Linked DNA regions of Astyanax mexicanus. The protein of the gene in region 2 interacts with the protein of the main gene of each other region in a pairwise test. Links are inferred from orthologs where the notes say so. Each region holds a gene or a part of one and is shown on either strand. Other genes may lie near its edges. The genes, in order: yju2 and jade1.

What was found.
Region 1: the proteins of jade1 (region 2) and yju2 interact in a two-hybrid assay, tested with the Homo sapiens proteins (2 studies listed by BioGRID and IntAct). The two-hybrid records come from large-scale screens. The link is inferred for Astyanax mexicanus from reciprocal best matches to the Homo sapiens genes JADE1 and YJU2.

What each region holds. Positions count from the first base shown.
Region 1 is NC_064411.1:46,958,887-46,972,217, reverse strand, and holds yju2 (splicing factor YJU2), read left to right. Parts: upstream 1-7,162; 5' UTR 7,163-7,269; coding exon 7,270-7,293; intron 7,294-8,426; coding exon 8,427-8,527; intron 8,528-8,621; coding exon 8,622-8,766; intron 8,767-8,857; coding exon 8,858-8,992; intron 8,993-9,154; coding exon 9,155-9,336; intron 9,337-10,088; coding exon 10,089-10,245; intron 10,246-10,965; coding exon 10,966-11,122; intron 11,123-11,930; coding exon 11,931-12,061; 3' UTR 12,062-12,845; downstream 12,846-13,331.
Region 2 is NC_064421.1:35,252,184-35,264,772, forward strand, and holds the start of jade1 (protein Jade-1), read right to left. Parts: upstream 6,310-12,589; 5' UTR 6,151-6,309; intron 1,586-6,150; 5' UTR 1,551-1,585; coding exon 1,502-1,550; intron 137-1,501; coding exon 69-136; intron 1-68. Other genes in the region: asmt2 (acetylserotonin O-methyltransferase 2), read right to left, coding at 10,373-10,584, 11,037-11,159, 11,595-11,732, 12,044-12,162.

The DNA.
Region 1 (13,331 bases), on a different chromosome or scaffold from region 2:
TAATCAAATTGACATTATGAATGTCAGAATTAAATGTTCTTCAATAATCCCTGTGTTTTCATTTTACATCAATCCTGTGGCTAATAATTCACCACAAGTTTAATCTGTGTGCGTGTGTCCATCATTAGGGCTTTCTATCCACCACCGTCAGCCCAAACGACTGCCGCTTTCTCTCAAATGTAATTCAAAGTAGTCAGGATTCTGTTAATCGTCTTAACTAACACTGTAGTCTCTAACACACACACACACAGACCCTCTGTCTCTCCATGCATGCACTCAAATACAAAATCTACCACAGCAAACACAATTAACCACTTACATCTTCAAAGCTATTAAAATTTTGAGATTCAGCTTTTTGACATTTGCACAAATCAAACTCTATCTGTAATACACACAAAATGCATTGATCTGTGGTGCACTGAAACTGTGTTCACTGGAATGATGGTGCTCCCTCCAATACTTTCAGGATGAGGTTGGGTGGTGATTATTCAACATTTGAACCTGACTAATGCTCTTGTTGCTGAATACAATCAAATCCTTTCATCAATGCTCCAAAAGCCTTCTCTGGACTGTAGAGACAGCTACTACAACGAAAGTATAGTCTTTTAATAATGTTGTCTTTTAAGTGTAAATGTTAAAGAGCTTGTATGTGTGTCAGTTCTTGAACTGTTTATCCTTATATCTGCAATTAATAGTGATTAAAAACATAGCCATCAAAGAGATAATAAAGCCTTTAAAAAGTTTGACAGATTAATTTTTAGTCCAATTTTGAGATATCACAAGCATGCACTGAGCCAAATAAGATCAATGTCAGCTATGCGAGTGGCTGCCAAACTGCAATGACTGTTAAAACTTTAAAGTTCCCCAAATCCTTCCATTCTAAGAGAAATGCCTACTGAGTTCTGGGAATTTTGTGCGTTAGTTTGTTTGTTTATCTTTATCTCCAGTTACCGATCTCTTTCCGGTTTTGCGGAGAGTGCAGCATGTGACATTTGGCCTACTTCCCTTAATCTGGTTCAACTTTCTGTTCAGCTGTAATTTCTTTCTCTCTCCAATGCGGATTTCACGAAGCATATTGGTTGTGCAATAGCAATAAATTATACTGCACTAAATAAAGCACTACAAACAGGTGCACACACACACACTTCAGACAGCAGACTCAACTCAACATGACCTCTATGGCAGCTTACAGATTGGATTAAACAGCTTTTGATTTAAGGTCTATGAGGAAGTAGGCATGAGTTCATTAGGACAAACTTATTTTTTTAGCTAAATATATCCAGCTGCAGTTTTGTACCTTCTCACACCTTACTCAGCTTATTACCACCTTCTTTAATAGGAAAGGGTTCTGGAAAGGATTTAATCATCATTCTCAAAAGAGTGTCTTTTTAGGGTTCCTATTGTATGTACTCAATTAGAAAAACAGCTCACTTTTAGGTATGCTGCTCTGTCTGTTTAAACTTTGCTTAAGATACAGGTGTCATTGGTCCATTCTCCATTCTTCAAGTGTGGGAGCGGGCAAAATAAGGGATGTATAAAATATATGGCAACCAGAATAAGTGAAAAGACCACATAATTTATCCCAAACAATGCCGTTGTTAATGACAACATTTAATCGCAACCAGTGTAGAATGAACCACTCCTTCTCAATGTAGCAAACTTTTGTACGCTTTTGTAAATCTTGTCACTAAAAGGGGTGAGGGTGGGGGCATCCAAGAGTTTGTAGACAGGGAAGGCTTTACAGTAGATGTTACTTAGTAAAACAGATGGAGTAAATACTATAAGAATCTGAATGCATGTGGCCCAAAGAAGCATTAGCCAGAAAGGTCAGGTACTGATAGCGCATGTGTCGCTGCTTTAGAACATCCCATTCTTTAGGCAAAACTTGTTAAGATTATGGCATATGCATACAAGGCTAAATTTCAGCAATGGGCTCACTTAAAAGCCTCTGAATTTTATTAGATTTTGAAAATTACCTTTTATATTAATCTTGTGGCTAATAATGCACCACAAGTTTAACCTGTGTGTGTGTGTCTATCATTAGGGCTTTCTATCCACCACGGTCTGCCCAAACGACTGCAGCATTCTTTATGTATTTCAAAGTAGTCAGAATTCTGTTAATTGATGTAAGTAACACTGTATTCACTGAATGGGAGGCCATAAAATCATACAAACAGTACAAGAATCAGCCTCATTCAGAACCCTTTATCCTCGTTCAAATCTTTATTAATCTATCAAGTCTATATAAGGCAAAGTGGTTTAGAGATGGGGTTTGAAATTACTAATGAAATAAACTTCTTAATTTAAATCACTGTAGTTTAAAAATAGACCTATTATCGTGGCTGCAAACTGAAAAACACAAAAATTGAGACTTTTTTTCTGGCATATACTGTATCTGAGATATCTACATCAAAATCTTCCTAAAATAAAATTTTTCAAGTATTTCAAGAAACACGAAAAACATATGACAGTTGTTATGGCTATCTGAAAATGAGCAATGGTTTAACAGGATAGTTTATCATACAGTCGAACAGTAGAACCAACCATAAACAATCCTAAATCAATTTGTTTTAAATACTGATTGAGAAGACAGAAAACAGTTAATATTTTATATTAATCCATAATATTTATGGAAATTCAGAAACTCAAAAAAAAAAGACTCAATAATAACACTAAACACATTATAGTGAAAATCTTATCACTTACCAATTAGAGACAAGCCCTGAATCATGAAGATTAGTTTAGTGAATGTAGCCAGCATCTTGGAAAGCTTTTAACATTGTCTGTTATTTTTAGCTTTTTTAATGGTTTAATGTAATACATGTTTTTATTGATTGCAGTTTATGTTAAATAGCATAATAAAATCTGAAAGAACTTTTCCTAAAATAGTTTTATTACCTTGAGGAAGCCTATCTTAGCTTTTGTAACTGTGGAGTTTTTCTGAGGTAGGTTAACTTAGTTAGCTTAGGTAGCATAAGGCTAAGTCAGCTAACTAGCTAGGTTAGCTAAGCTAGTTTAAATTGAAAAGTTTAAATTGAGAAAAGTTATTTTTTCCATTGCATAAATTAAACATTTTTAATGTACTTTTGTGTTGCTACAATTTTTGTTACAAAAATCTTCTTACACATTTTTGACTAACTCGTTTCCAAAAAACTGTTTTAAGTGTTTATTCTGGTAAATTTAACTAGTTAAATTAGCTAGCTAGCATTAACCTAGCTATCTAGATAGACTTTTGACATTATGGCAGCTAGCGTGTTAGCTTAGCTAGGTTAACCAGCCTATCTAGCTAGTTAGGTTAACTATTTCTACACTGTTTTAATGTAATAAATATATTATTTGCATTTTTATGTTGAATATAATAATAAATTCTGAAAACACTTTTCCTAAAATAGTTTTGTTAACTAAGCCAATCGTAGCTTACGTAACTGTAACTTTTCCTGAGGTAACTTGGTTAGCTTAGGTAGGTCAAGTTAGCTAACTAGCTAGGTTAGCTAAGCTAGCTAGTTAGCGTAGCTAACTAAAAGTTTAAATTGAGAAAAGGCGAGGTTATTTTTACCATCTCCTAAATTAAACATTCTTAAACCTTAAACCTACTTTTGTATTGCTATATTTATTGTAACAAAAATCTTTTTACATACAAAAATTTTCTTTGCATTTGTGACAGATTTTTTTTCTCCAAATAACTAACTTAAAAGTTTAAACTGAAAAGGGTTATTTTGTCCATTTCATAAATTAAACCGTTTAAGGTTAGATGTACTTTTACATTACTTTTTATTAGCTAACAACAATTTTTGTAACAAACATATTCTCACAAAGAGAGTTTTATTTGCTTTTTTGACTGGCTCCTTTCCAAATAACTGGGTTTTAAGCGTTTATTCAGGTACATTTTGTTAGATGGGTTAGCTAGCGTTAACCTAGCTAGCTAGGTAGACGTCCGGCGGCTAGCGAGTTAGCTTAGCTAACTAGGTAAACCAATCTAGCCAGCTAGTTAGCGTTAACTGTTTCTAAGTTGTTTTATTGTATTAACTACATTTTTATGGTGAATATCATAATATTTTTAAGTACTTGTATTAGCTTACCTACATATTTACTCCAGGGAAGCCTAATTAAGCTTTTATAGCTAACTAACTGTTAGTTGACATAGGTTGGCTAAGCTAACTGGCTAAAAGTTCATATTAAGAAAAGTGGCGGTTATTTTAACCTACTTACGCCTGAACTCTGCTGATCACTGCATGGCGTCCGCGGCTCCTTCTCCCGCTCTCTGCCTCTCTTTTCTCCTTCTCTTCAGTTCGCAGAAGCAGTTTGTTCAAACTTTAACATCCAAAATAGCTCCATGGTGAACGGCGGTTGGTGTAAGAAGCTTCAGCTACAGTCAGAACTCCGAGCGAGGAGCTGCTGAAGAGCCCGTCTCTCTGCGCTCAGCCTCGGTCTCCTCACTCACAGCAACAGCAGCATCAGCAGCCGCACTTCACTCATTCTCTCAGCTCCAGGGAGTTTATAGCTATATATCCCAGATTTTTACATTCACAGCAGCCTGCGACCACCCCGGTTCCACCACCACCGCTTCCCGCAGCTCACACACATTATTTCAGTTTTTTCTCTTTCAGAAAAGGAGAGATGGGGGGAATAAACCGCGCGCGCGTCCCCTCCCGCCCGCGCGCATCTGAGCTGAGGGATGGGGAAGGGATTACGGCGCGAGAGACGCGCTCTGTTTTTAATTATTGTGATTATTCATCACTCTTAATCACAAACGAATAAATAAATATATAAATGAGTAAATAAATAAATGCCGCGTGAATGGATAATTATGTGGGTAATTACGTGGGATGGAACGTGTAGAGTAGCCTATTCTTTCATGGGTGACTTCGGTTTTTGCTGTGAATTTGTTGATTTTAACCTTCAATATCAATTCAGCAAATAGTATGTTTAGCACAAGTTTTACAACTTTCATCAAGCTGTTTTGGATCCGTTTTTTTTAGCGGGTGCCGGCATTTTAACCAGCATTTAATAAAGCAGGCTCGCTTTTCAGCTGCCGGGGTTGGCCAAGACTTCAGTTTGTGCACTTTTACGCGCCCCATGCGCTTTTTTTTACGCGTGCCCTGCGCTTTTACGCGCCCTGTGCAATTTTAACGCATGTCACACGTAAAAGCGCACGAGGGTTCTATGCGCTTTTATGCGTGTTTGTGCGCTTTTATGGATTCCGGGCGCCTTTACGCATCCCGTGCGCTTTTATGCATCTCATGCGCTTTTATGCGCCCTATGCGCTTTTACGCGTGCCATGCGCTTTTACGCATAGTGCAAAACAAGATAAAAACAAGATAAAAACACTCTCAACAACAAAAGCACTACTAAGGTAGAGATAATGGTGTAATTCATCTGTAATTTTTAATATTCTAATATTTTTTTGAAACATTGTTTTCGAATTTGTTCTGTTTTTTGTGATATTTTTTTATCCACATTATAAGCAGTAATATACGAATTTGCTCTCTTTTTTGAAGTAAAAGTAAAACAATTTCACTTAAACCCAGTTATGTAAAAAACAAACAAAATAGCTACACGAAAGTAACTACACAAGTGTATTCTGGTGTTTTTTAACAAAGAAATTCTATTCTGTTTATAGACTTTAAACCCAAAATCCAGATATCTCACTCTCTGGGAATATGATAACTAATAATTATACAACTATTAAAACAACTTAACTTTCAGTGAAAGTTAGTATGAAAAGATTTAGTTCAACGCAAGAAACAGCTTAAACTGTTAATAACTTAAATGCTGCAAAAACCTAAAAAAAAATGAATTTTTGTGGAGATACACAGCCCAGCTGGCCACCAACGGCAATAGACGTTAATTTCATGTTGAATGTTGGTCATGACGTCAGATGACAAAAAAATTACGCCAGGATAACGTCTAATACTGTTACGTGCCAGCGTGGAGAGATTGGATATGAGGAATTTGCTCACGAAGCTGGGTTGCGGATACATCAGAGTTTCAACAAACAGTTTATTACTCTCAATCGGCCTAAAACAAAACACCTTCTTTAAGGTGGTGCTCCTGCTGCTGTAGACTACGGTTCTTCAATCCTGGTCCTGGCGCCACCTGCCCTGCTAATGTATGGCTTTCTCCTCTCTCAACACACTTGATTTAATTCAACAGCTTACTAACAAGCCTTGTCAGAGTTGAAGTGGGTGTGTTAAAAAAGGATTTTCATTAAAATTTCTTATCAAACATAAAAAAACTTTTTATCTAATGCTCGAATAGAAATCCTCAGGATTTATTCATATAATATCAAGCAGAAAAGTGTCAATCGAGAAAATATTATAGAAAAATACATACTAGTAAACTAGCTCGTGACCAGCATGGTGTATGTTTTTTTTTTTCTGGATGACCAGCTAACATTAATCTGTATTTTTAAAAGAATAATATATTTCTATGACAATTTCAGATATTTAATTGTTAATATTTTAGTGCAGGCATCAATATAAAGCTCTGGAAAAAATAAGAAATCACTTAAAAATGATGAGTTTCTTTGATTTGACCAAATTGAAAACCTCTGGAATATAGTTAAGAGGAAGATGAATGATCACAAGTTATCAAACCAAGCTGAACTGCTTGGTGGCATAAAGTTATCCAAAAGCAGTGTGTAAGACTGGTGGAGGAGAACATGCCAAGATGCATGAAAACAGTGATTAAAAACCAGGGTTATATACCCTGATTTCTGAACTCTTAAAACTTCATGAACATGAACTTTCTTTGCATTATTTGAGGTCTGAAATCTCTGAATCTTTTTTGTTATTTCCATTTTCAACCATTTCAATCATTTTCTGCAAATAAATGCTCTAAATGACAATATTCTTATTTGGAATTTGGGAGAAATGTTGTTAATAATTTATAGAATAAAACAATGTTAATTTTATTCAAATATAAATAGCTAAATCAAATAAACTGATTGAGAAACTGAAGTGGTCTCTTAATATTTTTTTCAGAGCTGTATATGACATCAGCTGTCGTACCACCATGGGTTGCTCTGTGGTTTAAGAGCAGCTTGCCTAGAAATATTAGGAAAAGAAGCATTAAGATTTGATGCAATATCGCCCTCTTCTGCCTCATATTTACAGTGACATCACTGAGGATGGCTGCAGTTTTCCCGGGTGTCTATATGGGGCAGTAGAGAGCCAGTCTGACTGTTTCTCCGTTTCTCTGTGGAAGAGAGTGAGACTGAAAGGAGTTGTGTGTTTTTCGGGCTGTGTTTTTTATTGATCTGCTGCAGTCATGTCGGAAAGAAAGGTCTTAAATGTAAGTACATTAAATACTCTTCTATTTCTACTTGTGATTAAATGAAGCAAATGAATAAGGAAGCGATAGGGTTAGTCAGAATGCTAATATGCTAACCTGTTAGCTACATGAGGCTAACTGACTAAGTTAACCTAGCGCAGGTCTGAAGATAGCTACAGACACTAGCTTAGCTAACCCAGGTAAACAGATAACCCAGGTAAACAAACACAGATAAATACATAAACTCGAGTATCTGCTGTTAAACGAAACTATTTACACAACATAATTTCAGAACGTGATAAATTGAGGCTAAACCCCTGTAAGACGTTTTCATTAACTTACCTGGCTAGCCTAACAACTATTTTGTGTTAGCTACATTTCTAAATTAATTTGTTTGATGTGTTTTTCCTTATATACTGTTAAATATTTAGGTCAGATTTAGAAATATACTTTAGAATTAAGTTATTAAAAGGTTCACGAACTTTCAAGCACAACTACAGCTACTTACTTCCAATACATTTTAAAGTACAATGTTACAGTAATAGTCCCTCGAATAGTTCACTCGAATAAAATATTATTTTGCTAAGGTTGCACAATATTTCATATATATAAAAAGAATATCCATGTTTTCAGTAGAAGTGACCAGAATTAACACGTTTAAGAAAATGGTAACCTGTTTTTTTAGTAATTATGTCATGTAAAAAAATAAAAGCACCACAGATTTCCGTTTGTATCAAACACCAAAAAAAGTCGTAACATTACATGTTTGATATAATTTGACATCCTACCTGATACCTGCACAACTTGAGCAGATTTCTGAGCAGAATTGAGCGATATTTCTGTTTGGATCAATTTGTTTGACTTGGTTTTCCTTATATACTAATATGACTTGTGTCAGATTCATGCAGAAATATGACAAAAAAAAAAAATAAAGGGTTCAGAAACTTTTAAGCACCACTATAACTACTTTTGTCTGTGCACATGCACAACTTGAGCACATGCTCATACTGCTGCATAAAGATAAGATACTCTTTTCATAAATGTATAGCAATAATTTTAGAAAATCTAGCATGTTTCTACATGTTCTTGGACATACGTTTTGTGTTGTTGTGATGACTAATTTGTTTACACACTGCATGGTATTGCTTTTGTAGAAATACTACCCCCCAGATTTCGATCCATCTAAAATCCCCAAGCTCAAACTGCCCAAAGACCGGCAGTATGTGGTCCGATTGATGGCTCCATTCAACATGAGGTAAGAGACTTAGAAAATTCATTACTTACATGACTGGTTAAATTGTGTTGTTTGTTCGTTGTTTGTTTAAATGTTTCCTATCTCTTTGCTTCAGGTGTAAGACGTGTGGAGAGTACATTTACAAAGGGAAGAAGTTCAATGCAAGAAAAGAGACAGTACAGAATGAGCTGTATATGGGGCTGCCCATCTTTCGCTTCTATATTAAATGCACAAGATGTTTGGCAGAAATCACATTTAAGGTAAGCAAGTGAAGTAATAAAAAAATACATGGAAATTACATTTCCATCTTCACTGCAGTCTTAACTTTCTGTTTTTCACATTTCCAAATAGACAGACCCAGAGAACACAGACTACGCTATGGAGCACGGTGCCACAAGAAACTTTCAGGCTGAGAAGCTGATTGAGGAGGAAGAAAAGAAAATCCAAAGGGAACGAGAAGAGGAGGAGCTAAATAACCCCATGAAGGTAATATTGAACAACTTATTTTTTATTTGCAGCATAATAAATACTTATACTAAAGACCACCATTATTTGTTGCCTTTATTATACTTTCTACTTAACCATTAACTTTTCTCAGATACGCCAGAATTCTGTTTAGTTATCCACATGCTCTGGTGTTTCCATCAGGTTCTAGAGAACCGTACACGGGATTCAAAAATGGAGATGGAAGTCCTGGAGAACCTACAGGAGCTGAAGGAGCTGAACCAGCGGCAGGCTCAGGTGGACTTTGAGTCCATGCTGGAAGAGTACAAGGAGCTGGAGAAGAGACAGAAGGAGAAGGAGCAGGAGGAGGATGAGAGAGAGACCAAGTATGTGCTTTATACTACTTGTGCTTTATACTATACTACCCAAGTATGTGGTAAGTATAAAGAAATCTTCAGCCTTTATTTGAATCTTTCCTGGAAAAGGCTCGAAGTTGCTAATGATGAAAGTTGTTCATGCCAGAATGTCATTCCCTGGTTTGAACGTGGACGTTAAACTGTAAAACAGCCTATAGTGAATATGCGTTTACAATGAACTTATACAGAGTGTTTTAGTCCATTTTTTTCATTTTGAAACAATACACAGTACGGTCCAGTCAGAGCAGATGTCATTTGTATGTGTTAGGTTAGTAAGCAGTTGAAGATGCAAAAACAAGCTTAACTTTTAATGGCAATCAGTGTGTACAAGTTTTGTTCTCTCAGATTATGGAAAATGAAGAAACTGGTGGGATGATGCTATTTTTATAGACTATATGAATGAAAGAACTGTTTGTTCTGTTCAGGGAATGTCTTCTAGTTTTATGAGCATTGCTGTGAGTATTTGATACCCCTCTATCCTACACCTGGCATTGGGCAAGGTGGCATGGTGGCAACAGGTTCATGTTTATTTGCTCCAGAATGTAATATTCCAATAATAATACTTGTATGTTAAAGGTTAGACAAGCTGGCTGTATGCATACATTTTAAGAACTGTCCATGTATTTCTTAAAAGACACTTTTAAAAGACACTTGGTCTCAAAAATGTTCACATGTCTATTTTCTTTTTCCCCCCTCCGCTTTTTTTATTTCCCTCTCTGCAGAGAAATGCTGGATAGAGCTTTAGTGAAGAGGTTGAGGGACTCTGACTCGGACTCGGACTCAGATCAGGAGGAAAAGAATAGAAAAGAGCAGCAGAATAAAAACGCTGCTCTGAAACCCACAGATATCCTGACTACAAAGGAAGGAGCAGACATAAAGGTACTTTAAGGAACAAACATATCCTTGCTGCTGCCTTGTGAGGAGATGGACAGTGATATTTGAATCTTACTGCTGGTTTTTACAATCTATGAAAAACTCTGCATAAAGAATTACATTGCTTAGGAATGTTCATTTTCTGGAATTGGAATTAAGTTTTACAGAACAAATTTGTTTGTCCATGAGATTAATTTGTCTTAATGAGATATGTAATTTTAGATTCTAGTCAACTCTAGGTTCTGAAATTTTTGTTTGTCCATTTTAGCTTCTTTTTCCCCAGATTTCACACATATAAATCTTCTATTATCTTCCATTTTTGGTTCAGTTTTGCCCATTTTTTTTTTATAATATTGCCCACACTGGTCTTAGTTATCTTCCAAAATGTAAAGTATAGCTAGAGTAAAGGACATGTTAGCATTGTTGCTTTAACCCCTTGAACCCTTGGTTTATTGATCAGTTAGTCATCATAAGTAGAAATTATCTCAAGGCCAATCAGGGCCTCTTTTGTATCCTATGAAGGTTATGACTAATGTTATGAAGGTCAAGAACTGGGGGCTACAAATTCTTTAAACAATTGAGTTGGATAGGTGTAAACTTCTAATCTGAATGTTTTTGTAGTTATTATTATTATTATTATTATTATTGTGTTCTATTGTATTTTGTATTTCTCTATAGTTGACTTATAGCTTTATATTTTTACCCATCTTTTCACCGTCTCCATAGGGCTCCTCCACCGGGGTGAAACGCCAGAAAGTTGAGAGCTGGGAGAGGAGTGTTGGAGGTTTGGGAGGAAAAAGTGCACTGGGATCACTTGTAGTAAGGAAGAAGCCTGCAGCCACCACAGCTACAGTACAGCAGCCGACAGCTGTAGGCCAGACAGGTACAAATGCAGGGGACTGTACATGTTACATTAGAATTAGTTTACCAGTAAATGTGTAGTCAGTGGTTTGTTTATTTTTTATACTGCATATTAAATCTTGTCGAAAAGTGGGGATTTTGTTTGCAATCATTTTTTACCAAAGTATTCCAACTTTTTGAAATTTGCATCCACTACAAAAGCTTCTTCCAACCACAAGATTTAAACTACACGCCATTTAAAATTGGAAATAAATACAACACAAGAATTAGTGTGGTTTGTTGACCCTACATCATAAACATAAATAAATATCTGAAACTTTTTTTTGTCATTTGTTCCATGGTTGAGGGGTTGCATACAATCAAAATGATTTACAATAACTTTCACTGAATTGGCAAAAATAGCTGTCTTATTTCCTAACCTTTTTTCTGTTCGACCAAACAAGCGCAACATAAGTATATTTATTTTTTCAAATCAGCATCCCAATAATGTTGTAACAGTTAAAATAACAGTTAATGATGAGAATGAATGAAAAATAAGAATGTTTAGATTTAGAAATACATGCACATTTCTTTTATTGTATATATGTTTTATCAACTTTTTAGAACAAATTAACACTATATTTTATGCCTCCCAGAACAACCAGGTTAACTCTACAGCTTAAACCCCAAAGTCAAGTTTGTGTAATAAAAGAATGGAAAAGGAACACTTAGGCTTAAGTTATCAAGCTACCTGTGAGCTCCTGCTTTGTGAAACCTCTTTTTGTTGTGACAGATTTGTATTAAATTCTATTCTAAAATATATATTTTTCTATCTTCTCATTCATATGCAGCTTCTTCTAAAACTGCAGAGACCTCTGCTACAGCCACTGCCGGCAGCAGCCAACCAGTGGTGGTCCAGAACGGTTCCTCTCTCAGCCTGCTGGGGGCATACTCGGACAGCGATGACAGCAACTCTGACTGAGCTTCTAGTGCATTAGTGCTGATGAAGACTATTTTTACTGTTAAAATTCGCATAATACAGAAAAAAAAATCTTTCCCCCTATTTTAAGGTGGAGAGTTTTGTTGGGTAGATATTTTATTTGGACATAATTTTTAATAATATTCTAGTTGATGGATTTATAATTGAAGTAAAGACATTTCCTCAGTCATGTTTATCATATTTCTTGGTTTTAAATAAGAAGTTTTTTCATGATGCCATTTTATTTACTAAAATATCTCACACACATCTCCCTCACACAGATATGATTACTCTTTCTTTTTATGGTTTGTCATACAGCTCACACACATGCCCTATCTTTTGTTTGATATGTTATTTTTACTACTTTTGTTCCTCCAAACTCGATTGATAATCCTTTCATAGTAGTGCAAAAGTCTCTAATCCACCCTGATTTATATATTGAGCTTATCTGACCTTATCGGTTAGGAGGGTGGTGTCACCCAAGCACAGCAGATGGCTATTTTCAAACTAGCCTGAGTTTGTTTTTCCTGAGAAATCAAGACAAATCCTGGACCACTTCTAGTTAAAACACTTAAAACACGCCCTCTTCACTAAAACCTCCTCTTAATATGGGACTTCAGTAGTGTACATGTAAATGTAATGGGAGGCTGATATATTTTAACATTTATAAAAACTAAAGTAAAATCAAATTGATGAATATATTAGTCACTGGAATAGTATTTTAAAGTGTTAATATATTCCCAAGTAATTAAAATGGCTGGTAAAAAATAAACATCATTAGAATACATTTTTTTGCACTGGTTGTTTTCTGTTAAACAAACATGCATTATCCAAATTATCTTGTACAGGTACTTAATTTAGGTTGAATAGGTTTACTGTAAACTACCTCATATTGTATTTTTACTTCCACTATAACAGTGGCAGTAATTCAGATAAAAAAATGTCAATGAAAATCAAAGTATATTATTTATTTAGGCCTTTTTGGAGCATTGCTATTGGTCTATTTAGCAAAAATTCTGGTACACTGTGAAGAAGACCTCTTTACATTCCACATGACTAAATGTAATTTTGCAGCTACATTTTATTTTAAAATTGAAACTCATCAATGTCTTCCCCATCCTTAAATGTTCATTAAAGATCTTATATACTTAAATTTTTTTTACTTGGATAATATTGTAAAAATATTATATCATGATATTTATAGACACTTTTACAAAATATTATTTAATAAAAAAGAAATCGCAGATAAAATGTAACACTATTGCAATTTTAA
Region 2 (12,589 bases):
GGCTGCAAATTCACAACATGAGTGCTGAATGTTGCTGATTGGCAAAGATTGTGTAAAGTGGGTGGTACCTCTGAGGGTCTCTTCCCCTCTCGTCTCCTGTGAGAGTTTGACATCTGAGACCAGGACGTGCAGTTACCTAGACAACAGAATGAGAGAGCGAGAGAGAGTGAATACCACTCTACCCAGCAGATAATGGCCACAAGAGTTGAAGTGTATAAATTAATTAAAACAAAAGTAATAACTATGCTTTTAAAAACAAGATTTGACATTAACTTAATGTGTTAACACCTTTAACAACAGGTTTTCAAAGCTTGTTTTTATTAGGTCCATGCTATAGAGTTGTTCTGAAACATTTCTTTTTTTTTTTTTTATCTTTCTTCATTTTTTTTCAACCATATTTAGCAATGCCGATTATCCCACCCACTCAATAGAACTAGCAAGCTACATGACAGAAATACGAACCAGTGATCTCTTTTGGAACATTTTTATTGATCTATTCATTATGAAAGTCTAGTACAGCATAAAGTGTTATGGTACTACTGCCAGATTTACATTATTTCTTTACCATGAACTATAGTGCAGGTACAATTTAGGCTACCACAACGTTTGACAACATTAGGGTGACCAAACATCTGTATTTCACTTCCTGTCCCGGGCGTCCAGGGTTTTTTTTTTCCAGAAAGAGAGGAAATGTCCTGGTTTTTAAATTACCTTCACTGGACCAGAGAGCAGTAGACAGCGTGACTGTCAGCGTGGCGCTCTCCCTCCCCCCCTTCCGGTGCAGTCTCACAGTAAGTGCACCCCCACCCCCCCCCCCTCCCCCCACCCCCGCTACCAGATGTCCTGGTTTACCCAAATGAAAATATGGTCACCCTAGACAACATAAAGTAGCAATTAGTATGATTAGTATTAATCATCTAGTAGTATATTTATATAGCTCAGTAATATATTAATATAACCCCACTAAACTAATATTTTTACTCCTTTTGGGGGGGTTCAAGTCTTAATTAGCAAGGTCGAATCCCCAAACCATAATTCACTCCATGGCAAAATGACACATCACACAAATGGAGTTCTTCATACAAAAAAGATGGGGTAGGGACCCTTTAATGGTACCTTCAGTCCCACTGCTTAGCAAAACTAACATCATCTCAGTCCCAGACTAACTGATCTTAGTCACTAATCTACAGCTGACTCAACTTCAGCTCCCCTAAACACAGACAGCTTTACCTCAGCCTGCCTGACCTGGGATGACCTCTGTGAACCTGCCTGACCCTGCTCTTCACCTATGGGTTAGGTTCTGCTCCTGCACATGCCTGTGTGCACCTGTGCAGCAAGCATTTTTAACAAACACGTGGGTTTGAAAAGCTGCAGCTGCGGCAGGCAGTGCATGTTCATGCTTAGTTTATTACGAGAAAAGAAAGAATGGAAAAGGGGGGAGGGTGCAAGGTGGGATGAACAGAGAGTGAAGGATGAAAGCAAAAACTGAAAAAGTGCTTACTTCCATTATCAGACTCCTCGCTGGTGCTGGGCACCCGGTTTCGCTTCATTGTCAGCACCCGCTGTCTCCTAACGCCTCACCAATCTGCACACAGCAGTTTCATTTTAGACCCCAAACACAGAAAGCAGATGGTCTCGGACATTAGCTAATGACCACCACTGCGGTTTGTCTCCCAACAAGCTGCTCACAACACAGCTGACCAATATTTGCATGAGCAGGTTATGATAATAGCCAATAATGACCAGAACATAAATGATGTTAATAACAACAACTACTAATTATTAGTAACAGAATTACACATTCTCTTATTATATTAAGTAACAATACAATAACAACTCAAACAAATATTATATGCACCACAATGCACTGGAACTCAACTTTGCAAAACAGATATCATATGAATTATATTAATCATAATATCTACATTAGATCTAGGCCATTTCCTGATAAATATCGGCACCAGTCACCAGCTCTAGACTTAATTGTATATGGAGCAAGGCTAGATATTTTGTTTGTTCAGAATATTGTGAAACAATTTAACTGTAAACTCAGTATCACAAATGTAGCCAAACCGTGAGTAGCCTGCCACCAATAATTTTCATTTTTGCATGTATAATAAATAGGAAGCGTTTTTTTTTTGGATCAGCATTACAGAGAAATATAACCCAGTCATCAAGCGCTCATGTAAATATATGTATGAATATGCAGTATGAGTATTGTTTCTTTATTTTCTACAATGTGGATTTATGTTAAAGACATATTAAAGGAATTATGTATTAAACAAAATAAAGTGTTTGTTCTCCTCATTCTTCTGACCTAAACCCAACTGGCCCAAGCTGAAATCTGATTGGCCCCCTGAAGTGCCCCTGTCCTGTCACTCATTTTGTCTATGTACAGTAAAAATGCACAGACAATTGTTCAAATGTGCCAAAGGTTTTACACAACGGTATAAAATCTGAAAGTAAAATAACAGATTATATACATATAGAAGCAAAAAAAGCAGAAGCAAACAAGAGATTCCAGCAGCAAACGACTTTAGCAGCACAATCCACAAAAATGTAAGCAAATACATAAAATTATTTAATTAAAATATATATATTTTTTAAATCACATGTTTTACATTATATAGCTCTGGAAAAAATAAGCCTCTAAAACATAATCAAGAGAAGGATTGATGATCACAAGCCCTCAAACTAAGCTGAACTGTTTGAATGTATGCCAGGAGTGGCATAAAGTTATCCAAAAGCAGTGTGTATGGAGGAGAGCATGCCAAGATGCATGGAAATTAATGCATGTGATTAAAAATTACGGTTATTTCACCAAATATTGAACTCTTAAAACTGTGTGAATATGAATACTTGAGGTCTGAAAGCTCTGCATCTTTTTTCATTTTTGTTATTTCTCATTTTTTGCAAATAAATGCTCTAAATGACAACAATTTTATTTAGAATTTGGGATAAATGTTGTCCGTAGTATATAAAATAAAACAACGATGTTCATTTTACCTAAACATATACCTATAAATAGCAAAATCAGAGAAACTAATTCAGAAAACTAAAGCTGTCTACATTTTTTCCAGATCTGTATATATTTGATATATTTTTTTCTGTTTTGAATTTGCAACATGCACTTCTGATTATTTTTGATCCTTAAAATCTTGATTGCAGTTTTTGTTTTGTGTACAAGTTTTGGCACAAAATGAACTAGATTGTATCATGTAAACTTCCTAAAATTACATTTAAGTATTTGAACATGGTGAAATAATACTTGGCCCCTCTATGGATATTGTGGCCCCTTGATGGCACCTTACTCAGAAAAATCCTCCATCCGCCACTGAGCTGGAGCTTCAAAGCGGGAAGTAAAAGCAGCAACTAATGTTCAGCATCCCCAGGAACTGAGCGATGACACATTCCTAACTTTCAATGGATGTCAAATATAAAAAGAGTTTATTTCTGTAATTTCTAGTTCGAGCAACTTGTTTTTTATTTGGACAATGACATATCTCTGTTTAGCTGTACTGAACTTTTATTAAACTTAATTACACACTAAACTTGCATGTGTTATTATCCGATTTGCGTTTTTCTGCTTGTTTTGTACTAAACCGTAAATTAGCACTAGATTCCATTTTAATAGAGATGGGAATCCCAGGTCCAGAAAAAATCAAAAATTGAACCCAGGGCTGCATCCGCCCAGGTAGTTGGTACAAAACTTTGGGTTAGATTTGTACTTTCTGGACCTGGGTTACCAGGTAACTTACTGGGTACCTTTTTTCTCAAGGATGAAGTTTTATCTACAGCACTTACGAGCTAAAAACAGAAACACACAGGCCACGCCCCCCGCACGCGGGACAGCTGTCGGCGCGCGTGCCTGTCCTAAACTATAAACTACTGGTTTTAACCTGTAACCCGTCTAAAACACGTTTTTAGCTGGAGCTGAAATAACCGTTACATTTAAAAACAACAGCTATTTTAAACTCCACATTTTCAGCTCGCGCGCGTTCTCCTCCCTGCTCGCACGCTGCTGCTGTTTACAGCTGCCGGTGTTCTGCCGAGTTATGCTACCCATCGATACGTGCTTCCTAAAGGCACTGCGCATGCGCTGACCTAACACTTAAATTATTGATCGTGTTTTTTTTTGTTATAATAAATGTTTAATAAAAATTTTAACTCATTTTAACGGTCATTGCAGATATAAATGTGTAATTGGAAATTAATATTAATAAAAAATATATATATATTATTAAAAAATATCAAATGCAGTTTGTAATAACCTCTCATTACAATAAGCTTTACCATGATACAGTGGTTTATGCTATCCAAATATGCTCACGCTACATCTACTGGGACTTCTTCTGAGATCATGCTCTAATATAGCGTTTCTGTTGCATTTTTACAGTTAAATAACTATATATACACTAGGGTAACACGGTTTGACCGGGTAGCACAAGTCGACAGAACACCGGTAAACAACGCTCATCAACAGTGGTTTCTTGGCAATGATGTTTACTAACTAATATTAATCCTAATATTTAAAATGACAAATTTATTAGCTAGAAGCGCTCTTGAGGTGAAAAGATAACTAACTAACTAACTAACTAACGGGCAAACGCTAACAGATGTGGAGCTCAAACAAAAACAACCACAACAACATAATCTAACTAAATGACTGACTGCAGAGATTTCAATTAACTTATATCAATTAATATTTATATTCAAATATATTTATTCCCGACATCTAGCTCTGTTTGTTTGGTTTACGACCAGCTGAGCACAGAGGGAAAGTTTAAAACAGGCAGAAATAAAACTAGCTAAAGGCTGCACCGTTTTTTTTTTTTTTTGCACGCGGCTCTCCGTCAGCATCAGCGTCCCGAAAATCGCGCGTTACTCGGCGGAGACGGAGAGCAGCGCCTTAGTTTGGGGTCAAAACGTGCTAATATTTCTTCATCCTCTCCATTTATTTATTATTTTTCCCTCAGAACTTAATCTTTTGGCGCCATTTTAATGACGTACTACATTTCCAACTCCCCGTGCTGTGCCGAGTCCTGCTACCCGGCGATGTGTGCTACTTGCAGGGTTGCCAGGTCCACCAAAATATCCAGCCCAAATCAGTCTAAAACCCGCCCTTCAAAAGCTTAAACTAGTCCAAAATAGGTCTGTAACATTTAAAGCAAATCGCAAAACAACCATGAGTGAACGACTTAGTTTTTGTATGAAGGATTTCTTATCAGTATTGCTATTTATCTTTATGCCATAAACAATATTGTAACATTAGTGTTTTATTAGTTATTTAATAACAGTTTCATATCCCAGTCAAGAACATTTAATAGTAACAAATTTCCAGAGTAAATGACTTCTACGAACAATTTTTTTGTTCTTTCCCCCTCCTGAACTTCCTTGTATCCTCTTTAACATTTTTAATCGCATGGTAATTTCTGGTAACATTGTGATGTTTTGCATTTTTTAAGACTTGTTTTGTTTTTGTGGCGGCCGCGGTATTTTTAAAAGTAGCCCAAAATAACGCAACCTGCGACCCCTGAATTTTCACCCGCGACTGGATTTTCAAACAAGCCTAATTTAGCGGAAATACCATAAACCTGGCAACTCTGGCTACTTGCACCACTGCGCACGCGCTTACCCACACACTTTTATTTTTATTTTTTTGCATTTTTTTTAATGAGAATTCTTCGTGTTTCCATCTGATGCATCATAATAACACGATCTGGGGTTACTTGGTATTAATGGAGTGACGATATTACGAAAGAAAAAAATAATCATATCCGTTATATTTATATTAGCTTATCATCCTTACCTTAAAACAGTGATTAAAATATTTCACTGTATTTTTGCTAGCTTAAGATGTATATCGAATGTTCTAGCTAATGCTACCCACTGTTTCATTTAGGGAGTTTTACCTAAAACAACAACAACGCTACACAAGTGTAACACGTTTTGACAGGGTAGCACAAATCGACATAACACCGGCCCGTCTTGATCAGGCTAAAAAGGCTCCAGCAATGGCTTAAACAAAATTAAACATCCCCCTCCCTCCTCTCCCGAGAGCGTGGAGCCGAGTGGACGCTCTGGCTCTAGAAACGCGTGCTGCAGAAGCGGTGAATGTAACGTTAATGAAACGTGGACGGGTAACGTTACCTACATGGCTGGGCGCGCGCTGCAGGTCCTGCGCTGGCTGCGTTTTCTATGGTGCTATAACCAATGGTGCTGCGCACAGTTTGAGTTCAGGCGGCACGGCAGCAGATTGTCGCCTCCCCACCCCTGCTCGCGCATACACAACCTCTCACTACACTACACACACACACGTTACGTAGCCTACGTATGTGCTTGCTGGCTTCTGTGTTACCCCTTGTGGACACTAGAGGGCATACAACCTCATTCTGAAATGATGCGCAGTGAGCTCATACAATATATCGCTAAACGTTTCTTAAACGTACGTTTCATTATTTCACATATTTACTGTCGTCATTACTATTGTCAACGTTAAATACAAAAATACATGAAACATCGAAAAACATGTTGTGTAGCTCTTGCATTGCAATATGCTGTCTCTGCCACGCGAGGGCGCCAAAGCGCTAAACTGTAACATTGGTGACTCAGTAAATTTGGGCACACACACACACACACACACACACACACAGATTACAAGATGTTGCTGCTGCGCTACAGAATTATTAATCTTAACTCTAAATAAAAGGCACGAGAAAAAAAGTTACAATGCAGTATAAAATGTGCTAGGCTACCATGGTCAGCGCCTAAAAGTGTCTCACTAAATATAATAAAAAATATAGTACATGATTGTTCCACGAGGGTCGTTTTATCGCAAGCATGTTTAACAAATCATCATTCATCCATGCAGTTATTAAACTGGCAAAGAAGGCAGGCATGCAGACACTAAGTGCATTAAAATCGTGCGTCACTGCCACTCGCGCTGCCATGCACTGCCACGCGGGGGCGCGAGGGTCCAGATAGTGAAAATAAAGAGAGAACGCTCTGACAGATATAGCTGTGATTCTTTAAATGACCTATAAAAATAATCAGTTGTACATACTTACAAGCATATCCGCTGTATTCCTAACTAAAGGCATTGTTTTTTTATTATAATTATCTTCCTCAGATCTTCTTACTCACCTGTATGGCGTTTTAAATCAGAATCCCTTAACATAACAGACGTTGAATATCTTTTGCATTACAAATGTTAATGTTTTTTACACTAATTAAATCAACATTTAATTAGAATTTGACTCTGTTGATACAAACATAAACAAAGTATTCATTCAACATTAATCTGGAAAATTAAATGTGTTTCAACTGATTTTTGCCCCAAAATCCTGTGGTAATTTACTGTTTTTACAGGGCCTGGTGATGTATTAGTGCCGCGTGGTGGCTTAGTGGTTAGCACGTTTGTCTTCCAGTTCTGGATTCAAGTCCCTCTCTGGGTGGAGTTTTCATATTGATCTCTTGTTTCCTCTTATAATACAAAAACATGGAGATTATGTAAACTGGGTACTCTGGGTATAGTGCCCTGTGTATGTTTGGCTGCAGACATCCTAAGTTACAAAAATACATTTCTCAACTCACCTCAACATGCCTTTTGCAATCATTTAGTCCGCCGTGGGCAATGCTAAAATCATTATTACAAACTGTACAGCGGGCAAAAATTTCATTGTTTTTTACCAGACATGGATATACTTTAGAGTAGTCAGAGGTAAAATGTGTTAAAATTTTAAATACAAAAAAATTCTAACATGCTAGTCTTTCCGTCGGACGCTCCGACGGTGTCGCTCACGTCAAATTACTGCTGTTTGACTGTGTCACACTACACGGACCATTGTCGCTTGAGACACTGAAATTCGGATCCGACGTACGTAATTTGACGGCACCGACAAAATCAGGTCAAAATCGGGCTAAAATCATGTAGTCTGATCCGGGCATTACGTAATGAAGGCATCCCTTTTAGGATGGGAAAGAACACTGCCCACAAACACTAAAAACCGATTGGCTTTGAAATGAACATGCCGATCAGAACCTTCGCTGTTTTGCATGCGCTTCATGAATATGCACATGAGGGAGGCGCCTCCCACTCTTTCACACACACTGTGTTCGCGTTTGTGTTCACTTGGGGCCACTTGTTGTAGAATCCAGGAGATTTTATGTGACTTGCAGGCATCAGGGAGTTGTTATTGATATGCGGTGGACTACCACAACTTCTAGGAGACCTGGGACGTCTGAGGCTGTATTCCAGCTTTTACATTTTATTTTATTTTAGTCTTACTTTTCTTTGTTCTGTTTGTTTGTTTATTTGTGTTTTTGATTTGATGTGTTTGTGATGTTGGTTGTATATGCTTAATCCACACATTTATCACCTTAAGGACATCTCTTCTTTAGTTTTCATATTTTACTAAAACTGACAGTAATTGATATAATATTAAATAATATTAAATCCACTGTGAACATTTAATTTGACATTTTATTAACAAATATTCATGAAAGAAGGGATACATAAAACAGTGTAACAATTGCAATTCAAGTAACTCCATATGAGAAATGATCAGTAAGAAGGGGATAATTATATTGCGACACTTGGTAAATATTGGAGGTAAATGGAGTGTTTGAGACAAGTACTAGGAGGAGGTCGAATTGAAGACATGGTCAAATCAGACAGAGGAGCTCTTGTAAAATAGGAAATCACTCCATAAAGTCCAGGGCCAGAGTGGGCTATAGAAAGGGTGTATATTTTTTAGCATGCATAAACATGATTTTTTTTACCATGCATTGGAAACATGCTAGAATACAAAAAATCAAGTAAAACAGAACACTGATACAATTCAACCCTAAATTATTTTTGTGCCTCTTTCTTAAAAAAAGACTCAAAAAAATCTCAGCCTTAAAGTCTGATCTCTGTCCATTCCTACAGAAAAAAAATGTTCATGTATTTGCTTATATTGAGATACATTTCAAATATTGTGTGATTTTAAAACATATAAAAAAATGCAGTACATTAAGAAAAAAATAAAGTTTGGTTATTTTCATACATTTCCAAAGAGTGAGTTAAACAGTAAAGGAACAACATAATTAAGAATTTAGATATTACTGAATGACTTCTTCTTATAACCTTATGATTTACTTTACAATTAGCTGTTGTTTACTTTCACTAGCCTAATAATGGGGTGTTACCTATTGTAGAAGCATCTATCTAACAGTGGTGAATTATTTTAACAGCTCTATTTAGTGACTGCAGACATATGAAGCTCTTAACAGACAATTAAATCACATATAATTTTTAATATGTGAGAGTTAGGAGTGTGTCTTTAAACATTATTGGAGCCTGTTAGCTTTTTATCTTAGCTAGATTACATAATTCCATTACTTGTTAGCTACATTTAGCACCTTAATTTCAGTTAACATTAACTAAAGAAGCAAACAAGATATATATGCCAAAATGGTGGACATTCCTACAAATTAATAAATTCAACCATTTGTGGTGCAAATGCATACTCTAAGTGTGGCTATGGCTAAGCTTTTAATTTTGTTCCCACGCGTCTGTACGTCTCATAGCACGTGTCATTTAAAGTCATTTCTCAAACTTCTCAGTATAACCAACACATACCATTTGACCAAATGTTTGTGAACACCCCTTCTAATGAATGCATGCAGCTAGTTGAATTTGCACCCTTCACTACAATACAATAGATGTGCAAAGGCACAATAGTTTATGCAGAGATGGGATAAGTTGGGGTGGTGATGAACATCCTGTCCTCACCAAGTCTCTTGTCTAATGCTAAAAGGAAGAAACAGGGAAAAACCACATGCCTCAAAACTTTGGTCCATAAAGGGTATTTTTAGGTTAAGTTGGGGGGGGGGGGGACTCTGATAAGCCATTACCCCAATAAAAAACAATACTTGGCTCTAGTGTGGCTACCTGTGGCTCAATATGTGCGTGATTTGTGTGTTCAGTGTGGAAAAACACTTAAATGTGCAATTCTTTAGCCCTCCAATATTGGAATCTTATTTTTTTTCTGATTTGACACCATTACTTAACCTCAGTGGTCTAAAACTCCTTGCTACTGATATCTCCAGTTCAATCCTATAAGTAACTAATGATGTGTTTAAGAATTGTGCAGGGGGCCAAAAGCCAAATTGATATAGCGATCCTGGTCCCAGTGTGTACAAAAAAGCAACATGATGCATTAATCTGAACAGGTCCCTTTATAATCTATTATAATAATTCTACCAAATTATATCCAAGTGCATCTGAAGTGTGTAAGGTAGGTTCTGGACGTTTATAGATTTTTTTTTTTTACAAGAAGTGTACTAAAGATCCAACCATGACACAGCATCAGTGGATGTATGGTGAAGGTCATTTGAGAGCCAGAATGGCGTCGTAGGACTTGCCCGTCCTGCACACCTGCACATCAGTGAATCCGGCTGCAGTGAGCATGTGTGTATATTGTGAAGGTGGGTGCTCCATGCCCTCTGTCTGGACCAGCATGTTTAAAGAGAAGATCTGAGCCATGATTGGACCTCTGTGGTTCTCAAACAGCAAAGCTTCTACAAGCAGAACACCACCCCCTACAGAGACAGAGAGAAAGAAGAAGGAAGATACAATTGTGCTTTAATGGGCCACTTCAGCTAAAAGAGGGAGAAAGAAAATGTAAAAATGTTTGACAAGACCTTGACTATACATGATAATAGTTCCCTGCAGCAGAGTCTAACAGGGAAAGGAAGCTGACAGAGAGGAAAGGAAGGAAGCGAGCCCTAGTTCACTCCTATTTCCAATTTCCATTTGTGCTCTATAAATGACTACTGTGCGAGTTATTTTTTGGGGGGGTTATTTGTAAATGTAATACTTCTGCTCTCCCAAATGGTGCTTTCAGCCCTGTGGTCCTCCTCGAACCACCCAACCTTGCTGCAATAGTATTTAGGCACCACAGCAACTCAGCAGGTAATGTAATGTGGATGTAACTCTTAACAGCTCAACAGCTTCATAGCTAGCTCCTGTCAACCTGCTTTGGTGTGCTCACCTGGATGGCAAGCTGCATTAATTTTCTTCAGCAGAGTCAAACACTTCTCCTCCTTCCAGTCATGAATGATCCTCGCCAGAACGTACAGGTCAGCTGCAGGAAGGTCTTCTTTAAAAAAGTCTCCTAAACACACCAGCGATTAATCAGTTATTTAATTAAAAATACATCCAGCTACTTCTCTTCACAAATCGACACGTTACTTCCTGACTGAATCTGTGTCTTTCATCATCTTAAAAATGATCTAAGGGCTGCAATGATGTTCTAGGACAAAAAAAACGGCTATGCATGATTCCATAACTGCAATAAATGATTCACTGACTGCTACTAACAACTCGATAACGCCTATAAAAGATTCACTAACTGCTATAAATAATTCACTGACTGCTATAAAGAATTTAGTAACTGCTACAAATGGTCATGTAACCCCTATGAATGATTCAGTTATAACTATTCATGGGATAGTAGTTACTATAAACGATTCATTTACAGCTATAACAAATTCTCTTAATGATTCTGTAATGATTTAGGTCTGTAATCTCTGATAAGAACCCCACTGACCTTCCTGAAACCGGATGGTGTCATCACTTTGAATGAAATGTTTCTGGGCTGTTTGGACCACTTTGGGCAGGTCCAGAACTATAACCGTGGAAGCAGGGTAGGCTTTTGCTAACTCACGTGCCAGAGCTCCAGAACAGCCTGAGGAGAGACAATATATTAATAAATATTATTATCAAATTTAAAATAATCGATTAATCTTAATCCACAAACTATTATCTGTGTATTAACTAAACATGTTCAAATTCTGTTGCTCCCTTTGACAGTGACCCACTTTCAGAACTTTATCTCTGCCTAAAACCTTCATGGACATTTCTTCTTTAGTGCTTTCCTTAAAAAACAGACACTACTCCCCACTATGTGTATTACAGTGTGTCAGAATGGGTGTGTGGATCATTACCGAGCATTAACAGCTGCGCTAAAGTGCAAATGAATGGCTTGGGTTAACACACCTCCAACATCCACTATGGACTTGAAGCAGGACAGGTCAAAGGCTGTTACTATATCATGACCATCAATGATCCACGTTGAGTTCATCAAACCCATAAACTTTAGCATTTCTTCCTCCGACCTGAAATGAACAAAATATTTTTAAGCTACACACTCAATAAATTACACACACACACACACACACACACACACTTTAGCCATCTAAACATTCTTATTGTATATACATGTGACTTTTTAATGTTCTATGGATAGTGTAAGAATTAAAGAATACTACTACTGCTTATTGTAATAGCTAGAGTCTGAAAAGTCCAGTTACCTGAATATACTTCAGCATAAAATAAAAGAAAGCTGTAGAACCAAACTAAAGTTATGAAAACTACTGTACAGAGTTTTGAATTAGTTTATAGCATTAAACAGCACTTTTTAAATCAGGCAACAGTATTGCTTTTCTTAGTATTGTGTCAAAATATTACAATACATGTTGTGTACCATGAACACACACACACACACAAAATAAAATATAGGAAGGCACAATGACCTCTAATTTT